Linked DNA regions of Yarrowia lipolytica. The protein of the gene in region 1 binds, or shares a complex with, the protein of each later gene. Links are inferred from orthologs where the notes say so. Each region holds a gene or a part of one and is shown on either strand. Other genes may lie near its edges.

Region 1 (6,031 bases):
CATCTTGGACGTCTAGACTCCACTGACGGTTCAGAAACAGCCCGTATACATTATGGAAAGTGTCGAATCCGCCCGTCGACAACAGCACTCTCAAAGCGTCTGTTAGTTGCACAGGATCAGTCACACGCTCTCCTTGATACACCTTCATGTTCTCAAAGCTCTGTCACCGTTCCTATACTCATAATTCCGCCTCATTCCACCTCTTATACTCACATCGTTTGCGACCTTGACAAGAGCAGCCCAATCTATTCTCTCAAGCATGCTGACGAGAAATTCGGGATCGAACTCAGCCTCCTGCTGGACCATCTCCAGAGCAGAGAAGGTCAGAGGAAAGGCGTTTCCGGAAGAAACACATTGCTTGGAAGCACACTGGACGAAATTGCTGGTGAGGAACTTCATGTTGACGAGATGTTTGTGTCAGTTTTCGAGCTGAAGGTATCGCCAATATCGCTATCTCCTGGTATGTATATTTTTGAAAAACATCCAAAATAATTTCTGCCCTAACCCTATTTTGGGAGGTTTGTTATTAAGCGATTTGGGGATGAGGCAGAAAAGAATGTTGTAGTAGCAGAATAAAAGCTCTTAATATAGTGAAATTTGGTCTAATTTTGAAGAGCTGGAGTTCCTCTTTCTAATGGTATAGGTTATAATAACAACTGGTTTATAACTACCTGCGTACTAGCCACAACAACTATAGGTGATTCCAATGAGCCAAGATGTCTATGGTGAGATGTTTATATACTTCATAATTGTCCCCCCTCTTTAATTCATACATCCATTGCCTTTAACAACTCTCTAGAGATCTCGCTCCGACTCGATAGTAGTTTGCACTGTAGCACATCTGTGAAACTCTAAGTTGGCAACCCTAACTACTAAATTACCCGGTAGAAGGTACATAAAAATCTGTGCTGTCTTGATCTGACTTTCTTCACTCCACACTTTTTGGAGCGGAAAACGACGGAATCTCCGAGTAATAAAGTGACACGGAGGTTAGCTGGCGCTACCTGAAGTGTCATCTCGTTAATCGGTCTTTTTGTCGGTTTCCAAGGTGTCTTTCTCTTCGACTGAAAGACACCACCCTTTCTCAAATGGTACGTTTTTGATGATGTTGGAGGCCACGAACGCGTTCGGAAGATGATGCAAAGTAGGGTGAGAAGGCATTTCCCTTCCCTGATTAATCCCAATCCTCTAAGAAGCACTGACGTTTGCTTTGTTTGTGGCATCTTTTACATGTCTCGACTTCTCTTACTAACTTCAGGTATGTTCCACTGTGTTTGCAACACCTTTAAGGATGAAAAACTTCTGTCAATCCCCTGAACTGGATTCCGCAATCAAGAAAATAGGTTTCCAGGATATGACGATTCGTGTCGCCTGATTTTAAACATGGCATCTCTTGTCTTTGTTGTTCCCTACTAACCTTAGCTATAGTAATCTATCCCTTAACTACTTTCTGTGAATGTGTGTGTCTTAAAGCTATTGCTGTCTTATGAGTGTAAGCAGTTGTATCGTATGAACCAGTATCCAGTACAAGTATCGTCTCTGGCGTGTATGATTTTATTACAGGTCCAATACATACATCTTCCCATAGATCGAGAGCTCCAAAGGTAGATTCCATCGACACCTTGGAGGTTGCATTCTACTTGTAGTACGTATATATCAGCTACCCTTTTTCGTTTGCAAGTACAGTTTTTAAGTCTCTACACAACCAAACATCATCTACTCTACAGCCAGCGTCCAAACACCATCTATCAATCTATACCTCGCGTTCTACCCTGTCATAACTACACCCGCTTGATATCCCACTTAACATCAGTGACGGACACCTCCTCACTGTTCTTCTCGTCGTAGTCAAACCACTCGCCCTCGGATAGATCCATCTCCTTGAAAGGTGTGCCAGACTCGCCCTTGCACTGGAAGTCACCGTCGGCTCGGAACTCCTTGAGCTCGAGACCTCGACAGTCGATCTGCAGAATCTCGGCGGGCTTCTTATCGTCGGCGTTGAGAGTTTTGCCTGTCTCGGTGAGGGTGGCAGACGACTCTCGCTTGCAGAAGCGGCACTTGAAGACGAAGTTGGCGTCTCCTCGACTGCCGCTGATGTCGCTCTTGTCCTGGGCGTTCATGGTGACCCAGTTTTCGTGGACCTCATGGCACGAATTGCACTCAATTTTGAAGGAGAACTCGTAGGGTAGCGTGGGTCCCAACTCTGTGACTCCCTGGAGCTCTGCGGAAAGAAATAGACCGAACATCGTGTCCTTCTAGTTGGTGTTGATGATCTAGATGTCGAAAGCGCACCCAAAAGTTTATACGCGGAGGTGTGATGTGATTGAGTGTAAATAAGTGTATGACATACTGGCAGTAATGGAGGTGTCAGATTGGAAGAAACAGTAATGAAATGTTGTATCCAATCTGAGTCTCTATGTTAAAATCTCTTTCAGATCCACTTATTACCTATACAAATATCGTGTGTTGTTGCATGGCTCACTTAGTGCTCAGCTGACTATACAACGCTGACGAGGTACGATCGTTGTACTCGTTACATAATCATAAGACCACTGGACCGCTGTTATTCTCAATACACTATTTCTAAAAAACGGAATATTCTACACTATGTGTGATATGCCCAATACCACATCACACTCACATTTTCCCTCCTTCATTTTATACCACATTGTCGCATCGTTCTCCTCCTACCCTAACCTTGTGAAATTTCAACCGCCAAAAGTTTGCACTGCATACGCTGTCACGATATATCTCACCCGCCATACTCAAGATGATTCGGGCTTTTTCGACAAAAAGCACGGCGTGGAACGCCGCCAAGGAGGCTGTTGCAGAGACCTCCGGCAAGAAGGCCGGACGTCTGACTGCCGAGACCCGGGCCAACATTTCCGGAGGCATGATTCTGTCTCGAATCCCCATCGTCACCTCCGAGCCCACTCCCTTTGCCAAGCAGTACTACGAGTACATGGATGGTCTCAAGCGCCGAATGATGTGGACCTTCCCCTCGTTTCTTTACTTCAAGCGAGGTACTCTTGCTGAGCGAAAGTACAGAGAGCTGAACAAGATCCCCACCCAGGCCCGAGACGGAGTAGTGTACCCCGAGGGTATTCCCGATGTGGTGAATCACCGAGAGCGAACAATGCCCCAGAAGATCGCCGTGCCCACCAAGGACAATGAGGGCTCTCGAGGCGCCAAGAAGGGCACCGAGGAGGGCGAGGAGGATGTGATCAAGCCCAACTCCCGAATCACTGAGGCCGACAAGCAGAACGACGTCAAGTCACTGGAGCGAAAGCTGGACCGAACCCTGTACCTACTGGCCCAGACCAAGAACGGCTGGCGATTCCCCTCGGTCGTTATCAACGAGAAGGAGACCATCGATGAGGCCGCCAAGCGAGGCATCCACGAGCTCGGAGGCCCCGACATGAACATCTGGAACGTGTCGCACACCCCCGCGGGCTTCTTCAAGAACGGCGACAAGCGAGAGTTCTACGTCAAGTCACACATTGTCCAGGGCGAGTTCAAGCCCAGCCGGGACGTGCAGGACTTTGCGTGGCTCACCAAGGAGGAGATCCAGGCTAAGGTCGACGACCAGTACTACCAGCAGCTGCATCCTCTTCTCAACTCGGTTTAAACTGCATCTGTCGACCGACCAACTGAGACCGCACACGAGGAAAAGACTAATGTATATATGTGTATATAGGGGGATGATGATTGAGTGATTGAATGAGTGTACGAGTACTTGTAGTGTATGTTGGTACATTATGACTGTAACATATACCGTAGCTAGCTGTGGTGTTTTAGTGAATGCAATCCGGTTCTAATATTATACTACATACACTTGTACTTGTACCTATACTTGTACTTGTACTGGTTTTATATTCTGTGCTGCAGACGAGGGTGTGGGAAATCCAGTGACTGTCGCACGCTCCGATAGCTAATCAGTATCTGTCAGTATGAGGGCTCGCTGGTTGCTCCGGTGTCATCCTCTCTTTCAAATCTGGCTTTAATGACTAGAGGATTCTTGTCGCACATGCCAGCCCGATTTCGGCATCTAGTAACCACTCGGCCTATTACCTCCTACAGTAATCACATTCAGACCCGCAACGTCCCCAGAAAATGCCAGGTTGTACTTCACCGGGCTCCATGCCACCACTGGGAGCCCTGTCCATCTCGGACGAGAAACAGCATGCACAAATTTTCCAGTGTCCACATGTACAATGTCCACAGGGATATCGTTGTTGTCATACCCGACGGCAATGTAGTCTCCATCATGCGAAAAATCGAGAGAAACGACCGGTTGGTCGTGCTTGGACAGTGTCTTGACACATACCAACTCTTTGGTATCCCACAACGAAACAATGCCTTCATTGCCACCCACAGCAATATAACGGCCTTGAGGATCAGGTTTGACACAGTTCGCGGCTGTTGTGTGTCCTAGAAGCTCAAACAGAGTGGTCACATTAGACGTGCTTAATGATTGGGAAGAAGTAACCACCTTTTCGACCTCTTCAGAAGTAGCAGCAGTCTGGAGATTCAGCTTGAGCAGCTTCACCACACCAATTCCCATTGTAATGGCCATGACAGCAGTTGTGTTTGTCCAAGTTGCCGCGAAAATTTCGTAGGGAGATTCCTTGTATGCAGCAATGGGGTTTCCAAACGCTTCCATTGCACCAATGGCGATCTTGGGTGCCCCTCGCGATCTTTGCGAGTCCTTTCCTCCATTCTGACGTCCTCCGATGTTTGTGCTGGGTGCTGGTTCAGCCACTTCTCCGTTGAAAGAAGGCGCGTACCACAGGATCGCATTGTCTCGTCTTAACACCGATATGTACCGACCACAGGGAGACCACAAGCAGGCTAGATTGTCGGCTCCGGTGTTCACGGATGCAAGCAGCGTTTTTGTTCTTGTGTCCCACACCTTGAGAGTTCCGTCGAGACTGCAAGTAGCGAGCTGATCGGGACTGATGGGAGACCATGCCAGGCCCACTACAGCCTTTTGAGACTTGCTTGAGGAGTATGGGATTTCTGTCGACGTGTTGACCTCGGTATTTCCGGCAATCCATACCCGGATTCGCGCATCGCTGTATGCCACGGCAATTCGAGTACCTGTACTGTTCCAGGCAATGTTTTTGATCGATGACTGTGAAGATGAGGATGCAGAGGAGCCGCCCTGCTTTGAATCTTTTTCTTGGTAAGCAACAACACTCTGGTTCTTGAAGTAGGTCTGCGCAGATCCCACTGGCAGCGATTGCTGAGTGTTGATTGGTTTGCTCATGTTGTCGAGGTACGAATTTTGGAGATGTTACTGCACAGTCAGATATTGGACGTGAACTCTAATGAGGAGCCGAGATTTATATATAGTATGTATTATGTACACGTTGATGGAAATTTTGAGGGGTTGCTTAGTATTATATCAGTTCATTTTCGTTGTAGAATTAGCCTGTTGTCAGTAAAATACTTGGTGAAATCTCTTATCCTGAGAGCCACGTTCTCAGAGCGCCCAGATTATACCTGTAAGGTAATGTACGTAGGACTGCTGGAGCCGACAAGAGACCCTCTCAAAAAGAAGCGCAATTCTAACAGAATTACAACGATGACTTCAAATCGAGGTTTAAATTAGTCATCTAAGTGGTTGTTTTTTTTTTTATGTTTTTTTTTTATTTTTTCATCCTTTTTCTTTTCATTCGTTCAGGACATCTACATCTTGACTGGTGTATAGGCATGGGAAGATTATCGTGACTTCAAACCACGTAACGGGACAACTACAACAAGCCTGTATAAGTGCTGTACATCCCACATACAACTCAAAACCTTTAAATATCATAATCATTAATCTATCTATACATTTTTTCCTCTCTTAGTAAGCTATCTACTGCTGAGGAGGAAAGCCACCCATGGAAGGGATACCGTTGGGGAAGAGAGCTGCCAGAGCCGCGTTGGCGTCCATCTGGGCAGCGTTGACTTGTGGTGGAGGAGCGGGAGATCTGATGCCGACAGGAACGTGGTTGGCGTTGCCTCCGTAGCCTCCTCCTCCGTA
Region 2 (5,353 bases), on another chromosome or scaffold:
TCCACCTGGGTCGAAGCAGAAGTTGAGTCACTGATAGACCGATCGTACTGAGGAGTGATCTGTTTCAGTTGAGACAACAAAATATCCTTTTGTTGCTGGGAAACAGCCTTGTTGGCGTGAACGAGTTTCTCAAGATCGTCAAGAATGTGCGTGAGATAGGTCTTTGCGGGTGAGAGTTTCGAAACAGACCGCTTTTCAAGTACAAAGTTTCGCAGAGACTCTTCCAGGGCGTCGAAATCGGCGTCGGACATGTCGGGATTGTTGTTATCGGGGTCGTCGTCGTCACCAGGGCCATCATCGGGGCCAGCAGGGCTCTTCTCCAGCTGTCTGGAGGAGGAAACGAAATGCACAAACTCCGAGGCGTCCTTGTGAGTAGCAGGAGACAGTTCCTTGACCTGGTCAAGAATGCGCTGCTTACATCGCTGCTTGTTTTTAATAGTGTCGAATCGGTTCACGACAATGAAAACATACGACTTTTCTCGAGCAGCAGCAGTGATAAACTCCTTGGCAGAAAGGGTAAAGTGGTTTTCGGCAGAAACGACGAAAATCACAAGATCAATCTCCTCCTGACGAGAAAACACTTGGGTGGTCTGGTACGAGTCCTTGTTGAGTCCCGGAGCGTCAATCAGCGAAATATCAATCACTCCGTTGTGCAACAGCGACTGGGTGATGGGTCTGTTATCTACGGTGTAGATTTTCAGAATGTGGTATCGGTCCACCTCATAGACCAGATCCTCGAGGTCGCCAAGCTTGTGCACCTCGTAGGAGGCCTCCGAGTTGCGGTTGTACTCCATTCCTAGTGGCACCGCATGAACTTCCTCCACATTGTCGTTTTCCCGCGCGTCAATCACCTCACAGAAGACGTTAGTACAGGGCTGCTGGTCTTCGGGCAGCAGATATCTTCTGAGAAGCGCGTTGCAGAAGGTCGACTTACCCGAGTTGACATCTCCGGTAATGAGCACCTTTGAGGCGGTATCGTCAATACGAACTCTCAAGTTGGACAAGTGCTTCATGCACTTTGTGATTCGTGTGTCGATGAGCACGCCTAGGGCTTCCTTGTCAAACTCGTGCACGTCCTTGGACGCTTTGGAGTCATCCACAATGGCGAGCTTGAAGATGTTGAACTCCGAGTCCACGGTGGGCAGTTCGTCGAACCCCTCAATGTAGCTTTGGCGTCTGTTCTGGGGAGCAGGAGTGATGTCTCGGGGGGCCTCGCCGAATATACTAACGTTCCGTAGTAGCTCGTTTCGGGGGTCTTGGATCGCCTGTAGGTCTGGAACCGGTGAGCTGTGTCTGGAAGAGGTGGCTGTGGGGGGCTGAGGGTTTGCCACTGGGGGGTAGTAGACCGGTCGGTCTCTGTTAACGTCCTGGAGCTCCCGTAGGATGCCCATCACGGCCGAGATACTTCGACCTAACGATATCCGGTTCTCATTGTACCGAAGCTGGCTCAGTTGGGCTTGTTGCATCTGGCGAGTCTCGCCACTGAGCCGTCGGTGCGAGCTGTCTGCGGCCTCCAGGGTCGAGCCATCAAACACAATGAGCTTCGACTTGTCGACCAGCTCGTCGGTGATGATGCTGCCGGACACAGAAGGCGCGTATCCCGAGTCATGGTCATTGGACCCTCTTCGGTGGTAGTTGTCGCTGTTGGCGTTGGAGTTGGCGTTGGCGTTGGACTCTCTGTTTCCGTCTTTACTGCTGCTGGGCTCTTGGCCCGGCGGGTAGTCGTACGGGTCTCTGTCGGACATGGCACACACGTTTCGAGGATATCCGTCTGATTTCAAAAGATTTGAGATGGTGAGTTAGCAAGTTACCCGGGAGAGATATTGGGACTGTTTAAGTTAGTTGCATAACTACAGTAAGTTGAAAGTCAACTGAAGAACCACTATAGCAGTGATGGGCAACTGGAAAAGGTGGCAAACAGAGACCGGGAGATCACGTGGGGGGCGGGCGGTCACGTGACCGGAATGGACGTTTCACAGCGCGCCCCTCTCCTTCCGTCCACATTCAGCTTTCTGTACTCTCTTTCTCATGCTGACGCTTGCAGTTGGTATCCACGTAATCAGCGGCTGAGATCAGGTCATTCGAAACAGCAAGGTTTCAGGAACCATCAAAACATGTGACCATACGAGGAGGTTGTTCTGGGGGCGTTTTGAGTCATGTGAGAGAATCAAAATGGCATTATTTGTTGCTAATTGAGTGGATATGGCACTATTTTCGTCTTGGGTTCTTTTTTCCCCCAAAAAAACGCACAATTTATCTCCGTCGGGGCTCTGATCTCGGGCGCATCGGATTTAGCAATGGCCTGTTTGGGCCTAATTTCGAGTTGAGTCGTAATCCCGCAGTGATGGTATTTTTTTTCTCGCAGTGATGTATTTTTTTCTTTTTTCCCCTCTTTTTTTGAAATAAACAATTTAATTGATAATTGCACTTGGGGTAAAGCAGATGTTAGAGGAGATTCGGGTTTTTATTGGTGGCTCTCACAAAAAAAAAATTCTTTTGAATTTTCGTACCTCCGTCTCCAATTAAATTGACCAATTTGCTGTTGATATCGGCTTAGTAATGTATGTCTTAGTTGGAATATTTAGTTGAATGATTAGTTTACTGAATGCATCATATTTTATGTATTGTGTATAAAAATATATATAATATGTTACAGTATATACAGTATATGTTATAAAAAAATACCCTAAGAAAAGTGAGAAAAAAAAAAGAAGAAAAAAAACATTACATTAACCGTGATTGCGGGTTCGATCCTCGAGCGCTAGATTATATCACATGCTCCGATTCTAATAAAACAAGACAATTCCGCCCCAAATATACGCCGTACATACTCGGTGGTATTTTCGTCTCTTGAATCCCCCCATTCACCGCCCCGCTTACATCATGTACCAATCTTCCAACTGAAACTTTTTCATACATACATCACCACTTCACACAACACCACACAAACACAATGATGTCGCTATTGAGACAGGTGCGGCACATGTCGACCGCCGCCAGCGCGCCCAGCGGGTTCCTCAAGGTGTCTGCCGAGCAGATCAAGCCCCTGCTGCTCGCCAACCAGCACATTTTCGCCAAGGTGCACATGCACAACAACGCCTACCTGGTGACCAAGGGCGACCAGATGCGACTGCCTTACCGGTTCAAGGGCCTCAAGGTGGGCGACGTGATCAACTTTGAGCACGTGAGCCAGATCGGCTCTCGGGATCACGTGTTCCAGGGTGACAAGTACATTTCCCAGGACCACTTCAACATCAAGGGCGTTGTGACTGCTCTCACTGCTGAGCCCATGACCACCCATGTTCACCATCGAATCAAGGACAAGGGTTACACTCGGACCCAGCGAAAGGTGCCCCAGACCATCATTCGAATTAGCGAGCTGGAACTCAAGGCTTAGAAGAGGAAGTTGAAATTACGAGTGGAGCGAGTAATTTGGTTCTTCTGCGTTATGTATATAGGAATGCATTTATTGCGTAAAGGAACGACACCGGGCGACACAGGTGCTACTGTCCAACGAGCACTGGCTATCATGTGCAGTTGTGGGTCGTGATCTACAACTGAGATCAGTATGTGAATGGAAGGCAACAATTGAGGTTGTAGTGAGGTCATTATATAGTGGGGGTATCGATAAAGTGTCTGGAGTTGAAAAGTTGCAGACGAATATCTCCATTTGGTATTTTGCTTGGTACGGTGAATTGATGATTGTAGCCATACTAGGTACCAGTGTGACTATGGAGGATGGGGGATCTAAGAGGGTCTAAGATCTAAGGTCTAGATCTAAGAAGGTCTAAACATGTTAATAGAGGTCTCTACAGATGCTGAGATACACGTGTCTAGTCACCATCTTCAATTACCGGTCAAATACTCCCCAATATCTCTCCCTCACTTCGTCACCAAATCTAAACAAAACAGTTGAGGATTTATTTGACTCGGTTGTCCCAGTTGGGTGCGGCTTTAACGAAGAGAGGACGGATTAATGTGGCTGAACTTGCTCCAAAAGTGACCTTTTTGGAACGGGGAAAAACGGAATTAACTCATAACCAGATTTATGACGCTTTGCACTCTTCACTTTCCCCCATAATCTCCTTCAACCCCCTCAACCTCTCTCGTTCTGACCCCGATAAACTTAAACTCCCTGCAAACACGAGACCACGCACTCCAGCATCTCACCACTACTTGTACAGTACAAGCACCCGTACACGGAACCATGGGCGAGTTCCATATCAACCTGATTCCGACGTACGACGACGCTCATAATCTCACGGACGATCTGCAGTCCGTGTCGTCGTCGCCGTACTCGGTGACCGTGCCCAAAAACCGACTTCGTTCGCGCAGCGACTTGTCTGAGGTCGCAGACCGATCTGTGTCCACTGGAGCTCTGGAGCGACTGGTTCCGAACCCAAACAAGATCCGCGTCGACCGACGTGTCGTGAGTGATACCAATGGTGACTCGAATGCCAACTCGGGTCCCAGTCTCACGCACCATCTTTCCCATGCCAATCTTAACACTTACAACAACAACAGCAGTACCAACAACTTGCAGACTCCGCAGAAGCTCAAGTCGTCTGTTTCCTACTCTTCGCTACATCGCACACCCAACAACAACAACTTTGACACCTCGTTCCAGTCTCTGCAGTCCGAACAGTCGTTCCATACCGCGCCGTCTCCAGACGGAGTGCTGTCGTCAAGTCCTAACGAGACCAGACTCAAATTCCAGAAAAGCAGAGACATTTTACGCCAGGGAGCCCCGTCTCCCCTCAATCTCACGCCGGGGAATAGATCTGTGAACGCCACGTCGCCTCATCCTCCGACACCTTCGGCATACTTGTTTGAAAACGACTCCAGCCATAAGAACCAGGAACAGCCGAGTAAACAGAGCCCGATCCAGTACTCGTCGCCGCATCCCATTGGAAACGCCATCTCTTGGAAGGCAGACGAGCCCAATAATTGGACGCTGGACCGTGTGCTCATGTTTCTGGACTTGTATCAGTTTGGCCCCGACTGGGCCCAGACCTTCACAGAACGCAACATCGTGGAAGGGCGGTTCTTGGAGCTCGTGAGCTACCAGAAACTCAAGGCTCTGGGCCACCTTAGTCTGAACAATGGAGAGGTGGACACTTCTCCCTCGAGATTCATTCATATCCTGCGGAAGACGCTTAACAGAGGTACATCCAGTGGCACTATTGACGTTGACGCGTTGAACTCCTCTCAGAGCAGTGATGGTACTACAGGGAGACATGCGGCAACAAGCAGCCCACAAGCGTTTACTTCTCCTCAAATGGGCTCTCCTGTGATCTCTCAAAACTCTCCCGTTCCACATCACTCCCCGGCTCCCTCTGAGCCCCCTCCCCCT
Region 3 (5,663 bases), on another chromosome or scaffold:
TCCCTGACAATACCTACGTCAAGTTGCGTATTGTCACGTTTGACAACGTGGCGTTTGCGTGTTCCATGAAGATGAACTACCACTACTTCCCCACGGCGGAGATCAAAAAGGAGGGCAATGAGTGGGTTGGATACAGTTATAAGGACGGTAAGCGAGTCAAGGAGAGCGATGAAAATGTCGAGGAGCAGGTGAACGAGGCTGAAAAGCAAGAGTAAATAGAGACCCAAAAATGTATAGATTGCATGTTTAGTTACAGAGGTGTTATTGTTTGTAGTCTATGGCACGGGTACAAGTACAGTACTGTACGTTATGTAGTGTGGAGTGAGGCTGTAGTAATCGTAGTATGACATGTTGTGCTACTTGTAGAACAATACACTACCGCGCAATTAAGTGCTCGGACTCATCACCGATCTTATCATCTTGCCAACGACAACTGGTCACACGACTTTTCACTCCATGTATTCAGGCACCCCACATTCTCCACCTTGAGGATTACCCCAATATATTTATTATATGGAGAGCTAAAAGTACACAAGACATGACCCAACAAGACCTGGTGGCAAAAGCCATAATCAAGTGGAACATAGATTAACAGTGATGCTTGTCATGTGGAGACGCAGACGTGAGTGTGTGTGTCACCTACAGTAGATTTGTTGAGAAATATCCACTGTTATTGCAGTATCGCGCCTGGTACGAGTACTTGTTGAAGCTATCTGTAAGACCCTACATGGACCCTACATACCCTATCGTATCGTACATTTCCATATCAGCGCTTACAGTTACCCCAGAATGTTTATTACACGCTACTGGTCGCCACAAAGAGCAAATGTGGAAGAATAACACGCCAGAGGTTGCACTGGCACGTAGCAAGCAGGAGGGGAACTCGCAAGCTGCATCTACCCCTTATAATTATGTTGCAATAGTCTTGTTTTGCCCCATGACGTTCGTGGACCCGAGGTCACGTGCACTCAACAACCTTACTGGTCCTGTCTTTGTTGCATGGCGACGAAAGTCTCTGAAAGGCTGTAAGGCTATATATAATCAAAAAAGCGCCCCTGGGTCCGCTGTAATCAGAAAACACTCTCAAGAAACACAAATGCTCGATATCTGTGACGCCGACAAACAACAATTAGTGACAAGCGTGATTGAACAGTGCAACCGCGAGTCCAACGCCTCAGCATTTGGAGATCGACTCCATTATTGGTTGACTGGCGAGGAGCTCAAGCCTTTTGTGCCTGAAAAAAATGTCGGTCTTTTGGCCAACGAGCCCTCTTCAGATCGACAAGAGTATGCTCCTCGTGAGTCTGCCATTGAGTGGGACTCTGGTCTGTCCAGCCTTAACCCTGTGGATGCTGTTGAAATGATGGGTTATGGTGTCTATTTTATTGGTTGGTTGTTGCTTGGCCAGTAACCCCCCTCTGCTACAATTGTAGTATGATACTTACGACATTCATATCGCTGGTACTTTCGCAGTACCGCGTCTCCACCACGGCCTGAGTACAAGTGCTGTACCTACCCACGGCCTAGCTGTCCCATCAAAACCGTGATCTAAACCCCGCGCGCCCTATTTATTATTTGCAGAGTATGCAATGATTACATCTTATACAGAAAAATACATCAATTAATTTAAACAGCTCGGTACGTGCACTACGAACTTGTATCCGTCTGTACTGTACAGACTTCTCGTGCATCCAAGAGGGTTCTAATTGCTATATACATTAAGGGGATTGTTTGAAAGGCACGTACTTCTTGACATGCTTCTTCTGGAAACCGGTGAGCTCGGTCATACCGGTCTTCTTTCGCAGCAGAGCAGCGGACCATCCAGTGTTTCCGTGCTTTCGTCCGGTTTTTCCCTGAGTTAGTGGCGATCTGGAAGTTGTCATTGTTGATGTGTTCAGCTACAAGAGGTTATGAGTGTCTTGCTTGATCTGAGTGCCTGGTAAGCAACAAAAAAAACAAAAAAAACGCAGTGTGCGTAATCAGCCTGGTTGTGACAGGTAGTTCCGTGTCTGGTATCTCTTCTAGCTGCTGAAACAGTTAATCATCTCAGCTTGAAAGCTGTGTAACATAAGGCCATGATCAGATCAGAGGCAAAACTTTTCCGGCACTGAAATATCAGCTATCCACTCTATCATGGCTTGATCGGAGTCGCTCCCAGCATTCCTTTTTCCTTATTTCCCCTCCTCTCCATCCTTGTGGCACTCACTCTGGTGATCTTTCCACTACCACAGATCTTGATTCGGTTGGCAACGGCCTTTTTGGTCTTGACATGGGCGGACTTGCAAGTGTTTCGCACAAACATCTGCGCCACGTTGTTCATGGCCACAGTCGGCCGTAGCGACTGAATCAGAGACAGCATTTTTGTATGGTCGTGTATGTGTGGTGATAGAGTCTGATATTCCAACCGACGATTTTGCAAAACCTTGTTTGTCACGTGGCGAGGTTTTCTTGCAGTGACTTACACAGGTGTGTTTGGGGTACTGGAAGGTGGCCGATGACTTCTTGCGGCGAGAGGACTTTTTATAAATCGTTAGAAAGTGTTTAGATTTCCCTATAAAATCTGTCGAACTTCATCCTTTTACTAGATTTTAAAAAAATTCACCCGTAACTCACAGACACCCTTGCACACTTACAGAGAAAAGCCTGACTAACACAGACTTGATACAAGTGAGAAACTCGTTTTTTCACATCTTGGCCAGCAGAATCGTTCAATTAATATATACATTTACTTCTTCTTTTCATCCTCCTCCACGAGCTTGCCGCCGTTCTCAAACGGAGCCTGCTTTCGAGCCTCGTCAATCATCTTTCCAACACCCTTCTTGGCAAGAGCGGCCTGGGTTAGTAAATACTGTGAGTGGTACGCCGGGTACCGATCTCCTGAATCGATCCTAATTCATCTCCAGGCTGCCCTCTCCCTCTCCCTACTCACCTTGACGCAATCCTCGTACTCGTGCCACAGATCGGCACACTCGTTCTCCATGGACTCTCCCTTGAGGAACTTCTCCGAGTACCAGTTGTTGAAGCAGTTGTCGTACTCCTTCTTGGCTTTAGTGCATTCCGGGGCAAAGGAGTTCATTGTGACGGTCGAGTGTAAAGTCGAAAATCATGCTTCACCGAGATGCCTGTATGCAACCCAAAATGATTATGTAAGCGAGTATACCTGATTCGGCCATGAGCTGAACGGGAACGACCATCCACACAACCCTAGGCAACCAACCATAGTATTCAGATATATTAGTCTGTCTGTCTTACTCATTAATAATAAAAATTCGTTTCACATTATCGGCGGAAGGCACTCAAAGCCACCACAATCCACATTCTTCTTCTTTTTCCCGCCCAAGCTGCTATCCTGGTTGTCGCAAGAGACGGAGCTCATCACGGTAGCTACCAAACTATTGTTTCAACCATGCCGTTTTCATCACTCAGTTTACAAAAACACCTTGCTGGTGACAGCATTGGCAGCTCGTGTACTTTCCGTTATCTTTCGCATCTCTCCCTCTCGCAGAACCAGTCCCATGAGTAGGATGACCTCGGAAAGATGAGTGCCACCATTGAAAATGCTAAACTCGCCAACCCGGCGCTGCTTCTTCAGTCTGCCCTCAGTCAGATAACTGTAGGCTCCTATGCAAGGACCACAGAGGGTGTCTGAGTCTGGCAGCACATTACCCTGTCTCTCAGTATGTTCGGTGTCAACAAGCCGCAGATGAAAGAATCCAGAGCCATAAGTGTTGGCAATGCCCGTCGTTCCGTACCATTGCAACTGCACGCCTTCGTAAGAAGCTGTAGTCACCCGCCTGGTTCCATGGGTAACCATGGTGATGTTGTCCCGCTCGCTGTCCACAAAGGTGAGAATGTACTCGATACGGTCGTTGTCAAGTACCTTTTGTGTCACACTGCACAGAAGCGACTTGTAGCACTCGGTTCCAGACATTGACACAGCCTCGCTACCTGGGCTCTGCTTATCGTCCAGCCGGTAAATCTCCATGTAGGTCTTGCCGAAGAAATGCGTGGACACAGACAGAATGGGTTTTTTGAGGCCATCGTCAAAAACGGTCACTCCATGTCGAAACATGGCCGAGTATATGCTGTAGACATCCCGTTCTCGCGGGTCGCCTTCAGGGGTTTCAAACAGCGTGGAGACCGCGGACTTGTTGTCGTCAAAGAGCGTTTCGTGCGAGGAGCGGGTGTCGGTGCGCTCCAGTGGTGCTCCAGCCTCGCCCGCTGCGCTGTTTTTCAGTGCCTTTTTCAATAGTCGCTGCATTATAGAGCTTGGTCAGTTTATTTTTTGCGCCTGAAAAACGCACTTGAAATTTTAGGAACTAAACGTTAGTGCATGACTGCTGCACTTGGCGCGTGACCCAAATGGCTATTCAGGTTCTGGGCAAGTTCTGGGCTACCCCAACCCCGACTTCTCAAAAGGGTATGACAGAAGTCTCAGAATAACATTTCAAAATACAACCACAACATTGCATGGGAAGGAGAATAATAATCTAAGACCCAGGTGATGGATTCCTGCAGGATGCGATGCTGCAGGTCAAGTGCCAGACCTGCTATATGATATAATGCCTCTTGAGCTCTCTCTCCCATACTACATACGAGTCTCACCTATTCTTCTCTCAACACCTGCCAGGGTGGTTTATACGACTTGGTTTTAACACCCAGCGATTCAAGGTAGGGGAACCAACTCTGTTCATCGCATTTGAAACCTAAAGGCGCGTTTCGCGCTCTGAATCCAAAACAGTGAGAGTGTCAATCATCACAAGCAGATTGAAGAGACGAGACGTAAACCCCAACCAAGATGCCATCACGACCAATGGCCCAAACCGTGGGAGCCGCCCTCGTTATTGGCGCCGACGACACGTCGCACTACGAAATGACCCGTGATGAGTCCTTTGTCATGTCGGAACAGCGCCGAAGAGCTTTCATGAGAGCGGTGCCAAACTACTCGTCCTCCACGCTCAACACCGTCGCCAGCGAGAGCTATTGCATCCCCGAAGACGTTTTGCATGCCGCCGGGGGCACGTCGACTCCAGAGAAGAAGCTGAACCAGCCCAGACAGCCTTCTGGAAGCCCTGTCCCTTTCAACACACATCATCAGACCACGACAACAACACATGCCCAACAACGGGCTGCACCAACTACACAGCATAACAAGAGTTTACAGAACTCCTCCTCCACATCTACACTTCGAGACTCAGACCTGGACCGCTTCGAGGACGCCGAGGAAGACGGAGATGTGTCTCTAGACTCGCCAGACACCTCAGCCGAGGTGTGCGTTGCCACAGTAGCTAGACTGGCTCCACCTAGTACAGGCACCCGGGGCATTTTCCACAAGAATGCAGGCATAGGACATGGTCTCGGTCACCGGCCACAACAGCCCACGGTGGCTCCTCGACCACAGACGCACGACCCACGGGCAAAGGTGAAACCCAACAACAACTCGGGGCCCTCCGGAGTATATGCTCGTATCAAGATGAAGGAGGTGGAGATCGAGCGACAGTTTGACGCTTTGGTAAGACAGACGGTCAAGAGCAAGAAGGAAGGACATGGAGGCATTGCAGCTGAGAAGCCACGAGCCGCCTCGGACAGTGCATCGATTAGCTCAAGGGAGTCGCACGCATCACGGGCAGACCGAGTGGCCCAGCTGCAACAGCAGTCGGACA
Region 4 (5,416 bases), on another chromosome or scaffold:
CATGTTCATGCTACAGCATTACGTCTGGTACAACGACAGTAATTTCCAAGTAAGTCCAGGAGGCATAGAAAGCCAAAACCACCACTACCACAATCAGCATCATCGTCATCATCATCATCATCATCATCATCGCGAGCACAGCAATCACCACCGCCCATCCTCGCAGAGATTGGGCTACGGTTCTGTGAGCGAAGACAGCGAAGAAGAGCCCAGCCGACTGATGCTGGCCTGAATCGGGGGAAACTAACTTAGCTACCAAAGGTGGAGTAGGTACCTCCATAGATTAGAAAGACAATGCGCTTCTCAAGTTGAACTTGCGTGGTGTAAATGGTGTTCGTGTATATTAAGCTATGTTGTCATGCCCTTCGCCTGACGACTGATTTCACTGTGGCACCATCAAGGTGTGATGGCTTGAAATCCCTACTAGAAAGCAGTCCAGCACTCTCATAGATTCTATGATACTCCTGGTCTTGCGGCAACCCCAGGCGAGTCCACATTTCTCGGACATCACTTATGAGTTGTTGGCCACCAGCTGCAGAAAATGTATTCACCATGATAACTTGTCGAGAGAAATACTCAGACAAAACCTTTGAGAAGTCCTTGAGGATCTGATACATGTCTTCTGCAGATAGACACTTCCTCATAATTCCAAGATATTTGTCCATCGTCTGAATAGGAAGAGACAGCTGGGAGCTGGGCGGCACATTTTCGGGGTCAGGATAATCAACGTTCTTGGACCAGTCGTTCAGCTTGAAGTATTCCTTCATTCCATCCTGCATTCGCTTCTCCAAAAATGCCTTTGCAGTCTGGTACACACGGTCCTGTAAAGACGTATATCCTTTGATGGTGTCATCGAACAGGGTTCCCTCGTCGCTTTCATCCGTGGGTAGCGTAGCGGAGGTCTGCATGGCATCATTGTCGATACCACCTTCTTTTCGCGAGGAGTTGTTGAGAGAGGTTATATCGCGCCAAAGTTCCAGAAAAAAGACGTCCTCACCCCAAACTTGGAGGGTCTCTATCATGAACTTCGCACTTCCAAAAATTCTGCACACCCTCCAGATACCCTCTGATCCCCCCGTTTTCTGTTTATCAGCGGCTCCCACAAGAGCCCTCGACAATAGAGATATGTTCGATTCCAGAAGCAGATTTTGTTCATGCAGTTGCTCGTGATAAAGATCCAAAATTGTCGTCTGAATACCTATCAAGAACTTGAGTCTGTATGTGACACTAGCCAGACTTCTGTAGTGGTCAGTGACACCCTCCAGCAGATCTTTGACCATTAGCGCACTCTTCGTTGGTTTGGTCGCACCTCTTTCCACGCCATCAAAGTCAATTTCCCAAGCGTCGGGAAGCTGAATAATAGCGTGAAACCGCGAAACCGCAAAATTTCGTTCAACATTGAGCCAAATATCAAACCTCGAAGGCGTGAGAATAGACCCTGAAATTCCCACCCAGTTTCCTCTGTTGGGGCTGTAGAAATAACGCTCTTTAAGAGCGGTCTCAAACACTACTGTTTCGTAGAGGAGATGGGATAGCTCTGTAGATGTATCACGGAGAGCATCGAACAACACCGAGGCTTTGCGGATTGCCGATGGAATCAATGCACAGATGAACTCATTGAGAGCTACTTTGTCGCTGTCACCCAACAGAGGTTGCATGTGTTCCTGCAAGAAGTTTTCCTGCTCCTCAACAATGTCTAGAAAGTAAGAATAAAACCATTCAGGCTTGTCAGGTTGGTTCGTATCTTTGTTTCCTTCGAAATGGAACCGTAATCTGATATCATAAGGCGCAGTCAAAACCAAGAAAGCCTGCAGCGGCACCCCTTGGGGGTCAGCTGTCGACTGGGTTCTAAGAGAGCTGTCAAGGAATATCATTTCTTCTAGAGTCGATAGCAGCCGTTCTGATGGCTGAAACTCCTTTGAAGGGTACTGGCAGTTCACCAGCTCCTCTTCTGCCTCCTGCGAAAGTCTTTGAAGCTCAGTGTGCGCGGACCTCTGAAGCTTTTTCCTCCATTGCTTATGTAAAGCTTCCACCGCAGTAGGAACATCTCTGCGGTTCAATTCCAGATATTCTTGAATTGCGCTTTTGATCCTGGCACTTGAATCGGTTTCCGTTGAAGTGTTGTAGTTTTGTTGCAAAGACAGGAGGTTGCCGATGTGGTGTTCAGAGGATGCCAGGTTCTCGGCTTTCTTGATTGCAGTCTGTACATCCTTGTTGGTGTCGACCAGCTCATGCTTGCTGAGGTCTTCCAGTGCCGCAATGATTGATTTCTTGTCACCCTCTTCAACCGAGTCGTGGACTGCCTGTGCATGTTGTACAAGCAAACTGGAGGCTTCATTGTGTGCTTCAGTGATGTCAATGTTCAACCGCTCCTCCTTCTCCAGAAGCTCGGATTCAAGCTGGTCCAAAGACTCTAGATCGGCCAACGTAGCAAATTGCCCATCAAGAAACAACTTCCCAGATATCTTCCCAATATGACCGCTCATGTTCTGTGTTGGTGGTTTTGAGTTGTGTCCGTGATGACAAACAGGCCAATCTGGTATGTAACCTTAATCCCGCTTAAAATTATCACACGCATCTTGAACCACCACTTGAATTTGACATCAGATCAGAAGAGAACACAACATGGCTGGTAGGTATTGTTGGCGCCCACAGAAACCTCCCCCTGCTTTACTAACACAGTACGAAGCAAGAACACTGTCATCAAACTCTTTTCTTCGGCGAAAACCGGTGTCATGCGAACCGTTTTCCGACCTCGTGTGGCTCGTCCCATCACTCAAGTGAAGTATGACCCTATAGGTGAGTTACTGGAAAGATGAGGCTGTCGAGGGCTGAGACCCGTTGCAGTGGATGAGGTGATCGCAGTGGTGTCGCGATGCAGCATCGGCTAGTGGGTGTGGCACTGGACGCTCGATTTCTCGTGATCGTCTCCATGAGATCGTGGTCCCAGAGAGCTGACCACGCCAGTTTACTAACTCAGTTAAACGAATGGTTCTTTTCGAGGAGACGAAGACCCGACGAGGAGCCGTTGAGCCTCGAGGCAAGGAGCCTAAGAAGTCCGATGACTAAGCCATGATTTGTACATAGTTAATTATAGATGTGAAGAGGTAGGATGCTTGTATTTCGTTGTACTGTGACTGGGTCGTAGTTTGGTGACCATGCCCTCTGCGTGATAGGTTAGGGATGTGTGGCTGTACGGTGTTTGCTCTCCATTCCATGTGCTATTGTGCAAATGGGTTCGCGTGAATGCTCACACTCCTGATGAATACAGGGGCGACTGGTCGATTCTTTTTGTCTACCTCAACTCCTTCGAGTTTCACTAGAGCGTCCTCACCATCGATCATTTTCCCAAACACAGTGTAATTGCCATCCAGACTCAAGTGCTTGTCGTAAGTTATAAAGAACTGGCTTCCATTTGTGTTGGGGCCGGAGTTGACCATGGAGAGTATGCCTCTGGAGTTGTGTCGCAGCGTCGGCTTGATTTCGTCTTCAAATTTGCCGCCCCAAATCGACTCCCCGCCTTTGCCTGTACCTGTGGGATCACCCATCTGTACCATGAATGCTTGCGTTAGTCACTCTCTCAGAGGTTTAATGGCACCTAACATAATAGAACGTCGCTTCAGGCTGTATGGTGTGGTTTTACTCACTCTTGATGTTCCTGTGTATCTTTGTTTCATCATATGTGCCCGACGCGCACAGGGCCAGGAAATTCTGTGTTAATAATTGCACGACCACACTGTCACAGTGCCACTCACTTTTGCAGCCTTCGGTACAGCCTCGCAAAATACTTCGACCTTGATATCACCGGCATCCGTATGAAGAGTTACGGACATGTCTGATGAGTTTCGTACTGGTGCCGGTTCTCGTATTTGTAAGGTTATTGGTACGAGTACAAGTACAAGTACATTGTAATATACACTACAGTAAATGAACCCTATAGCTTCATGCTGGATCCCAATATTACACCCAAGTAGCATGCATAAGCTAAAAGTAACTCGCAGCGCACACCGTGCAGATTCATAAGTCTATGATTAATTGAACGCCAATAACCCGGCTTACTACAAGTACAAGTAGGTATACATAGCGGTAATGAATCATTAGAAAAAAAAAAAACAAAAAAAAACAAAACAAACTGTTGTGGATGCATCAACAGTAGTACATAGTTGTACGATGTACTTGTACTTGTAAAAGCAAAAATGTACAATATCTCAGGGAGCGCAACTTTTACGTTCGAAGAACAATGTACCGCGTACCGCATTCTGGATTCTGCGGAACGTCTAACCTGGAAATACGATTTTTTTTTTCTTTCATTTTTTTTGCTTCTTCAAAAGTATGGTAATTTCCTACCATTACAGTTGACACTGAACGAGGGGGGATTGAATTTAAGCAAAAAATTAAATCAAAATACCTTTATGTATCCAGCCCATGTAATAAACAAAAGGATTATATAACAAGAAATAAATATATACCTTTAATGGATCATTAGAATAAAAATAATAAATACGAGAAGCACACCAGAGAAGCTTTTTGATTGCCACTATACCGCTACTTTGGTATATTCTTATTATAATTGTTGAATTTGCAAGATAGAATGTGCCATTCATTGGAGAGAAATCCAAGGAATATGTGGGATGAAATGACTAGAAGTATGAACAATGAGAATAGTACATACTTGTACCTGTATTTCTAGAAGAGAGAAAGACAGTTGAGTGTGTGATTCTCGTCCAATAATAATCTCAATAGTAACGTGTGAATAGCTGTTCTTTGATAGTTGATATTTCTCGATGACTATTTATGTTGTACAAGGGATTTTTTTCGTTGCTGTTGATTTCGAATTAGGCAATGCAGATATCATTTATGCTATCCATATTTAAGATTTCCCATACGCATTTATAACATTTATTCTACATAAATTGTTAAATGAACGAACTGCCATTATAAATTGTTTCCTAAATAGGAAGTGTTTTTCATAAAGCAAGTAAGTTGTCTAATAATACTAAGTAATAAAAATAAGTTCATACAATATATTTTGAGAACATCATTTGGAGGCGGTAGATGGAGTCTGTTTATTATTAAACAATATTATATAACACGATTTTTTTAAATTATTGGCCCGAAAATTAATCAGTGTAGACTGGATCACCTTACAATATTGTGTTAGAAATATAATCTAATGTGTTACGGAAGTATGTGGTATGGTATATACTGGTTGCAAAATTTCCATTTTGAGTCATCTCCAAAAAAATTGATTGTAAAAATTAGAGATTTATGTAAGAATATTTCCACTATGTTTATTTTAATAAATATTTGATATTTTTTATATTAGTACAGTAGATATAATAAATAGTTATACTACTGCTAAATAAGCACCCAATATTTTTATGTCATAAACTTCTCGGAAGATCATTGGACCCCA

What was found.
Region 2: YALI1_E29617g (region 1) and YALI1_F12422g share a complex: the UniProt entries of both Saccharomyces cerevisiae proteins name them as parts of the mitochondrial large ribosomal subunit. The link is inferred for Yarrowia lipolytica from reciprocal best matches to the Saccharomyces cerevisiae genes MRPL17 and MRPL49.
Region 3: YALI1_E29617g (region 1) and YALI1_F39183g share a complex: the UniProt entries of both Saccharomyces cerevisiae proteins name them as parts of the mitochondrial large ribosomal subunit. The link is inferred for Yarrowia lipolytica from reciprocal best matches to the Saccharomyces cerevisiae genes MRPL17 and MRP35.
Region 4: YALI1_E29617g (region 1) and YALI1_C21634g share a complex: the UniProt entries of both Saccharomyces cerevisiae proteins name them as parts of the mitochondrial large ribosomal subunit. The link is inferred for Yarrowia lipolytica from reciprocal best matches to the Saccharomyces cerevisiae genes MRPL17 and MRPL39.

What each region holds. Positions count from the first base shown.
Region 1 is NC_090774.1:2,958,911-2,964,941, forward strand, and holds YALI1_E29617g (mitochondrial 54S ribosomal protein mL46), read left to right. Parts: upstream 1-2,770; coding exon 2,771-3,628; downstream 3,629-6,031. Other genes in the region: YALI1_E29586g (uncharacterized protein), read right to left, coding at 214-399; YALI1_E29611g (uncharacterized protein), read right to left, coding at 1,782-2,246; YALI1_E29642g (uncharacterized protein), read right to left, coding at 4,049-5,269; YALI1_E29665g (uncharacterized protein), read right to left, coding at 5,864-6,031. UniProt on the Saccharomyces cerevisiae protein: Component of the mitochondrial ribosome (mitoribosome), a dedicated translation machinery responsible for the synthesis of mitochondrial genome-encoded proteins, including at least some of the essential transmembrane subunits of the mitochondrial respiratory chain.
Region 2 is NC_090775.1:1,239,806-1,245,158, reverse strand, and holds YALI1_F12422g (mitochondrial 54S ribosomal protein bL21m), read left to right. Parts: upstream 1-2,953; coding exon 2,954-3,397; downstream 3,398-5,353. Other genes in the region: YALI1_F12434g (uncharacterized protein), read right to left, coding at 1-1,745; YALI1_F12430g (uncharacterized protein), read left to right, coding at 1,965-2,047, 2,095-2,368; YALI1_F12365g (uncharacterized protein), read left to right, coding at 4,208-5,353. UniProt on the Saccharomyces cerevisiae protein: Component of the mitochondrial ribosome (mitoribosome), a dedicated translation machinery responsible for the synthesis of mitochondrial genome-encoded proteins, including at least some of the essential transmembrane subunits of the mitochondrial respiratory chain.
Region 3 is NC_090775.1:3,915,047-3,920,709, reverse strand, and holds YALI1_F39183g (uncharacterized protein), read right to left. Parts: upstream 2,360-5,663; coding exon 2,207-2,359; intron 1,854-2,206; coding exon 1,719-1,853; downstream 1-1,718. Other genes in the region: YALI1_F39236g (uncharacterized protein), read left to right, coding at 1-215; YALI1_F39199g (uncharacterized protein), read left to right, coding at 728-1,411; YALI1_F39176g (uncharacterized protein), read right to left, coding at 2,726-2,833, 2,930-3,076; YALI1_F39164g (uncharacterized protein), read right to left, coding at 3,428-4,261; YALI1_F39159g (uncharacterized protein), read left to right, coding at 4,799-5,663. UniProt on the Saccharomyces cerevisiae protein: Component of the mitochondrial ribosome (mitoribosome), a dedicated translation machinery responsible for the synthesis of mitochondrial genome-encoded proteins, including at least some of the essential transmembrane subunits of the mitochondrial respiratory chain.
Region 4 is NC_090772.1:2,161,027-2,166,442, reverse strand, and holds YALI1_C21634g (mitochondrial 54S ribosomal protein bL33m), read left to right. Parts: upstream 1-2,625; coding exon 2,626-2,632; intron 2,633-2,682; coding exon 2,683-2,799; intron 2,800-2,980; coding exon 2,981-3,069; downstream 3,070-5,416. Other genes in the region: YALI1_C21664g (uncharacterized protein), read left to right, coding at 1-232; YALI1_C21639g (uncharacterized protein), read right to left, coding at 357-2,486; YALI1_C21626g (uncharacterized protein), read right to left, coding at 3,222-3,562, 3,648-3,711, 3,756-3,833. UniProt on the Saccharomyces cerevisiae protein: Component of the mitochondrial ribosome (mitoribosome), a dedicated translation machinery responsible for the synthesis of mitochondrial genome-encoded proteins, including at least some of the essential transmembrane subunits of the mitochondrial respiratory chain.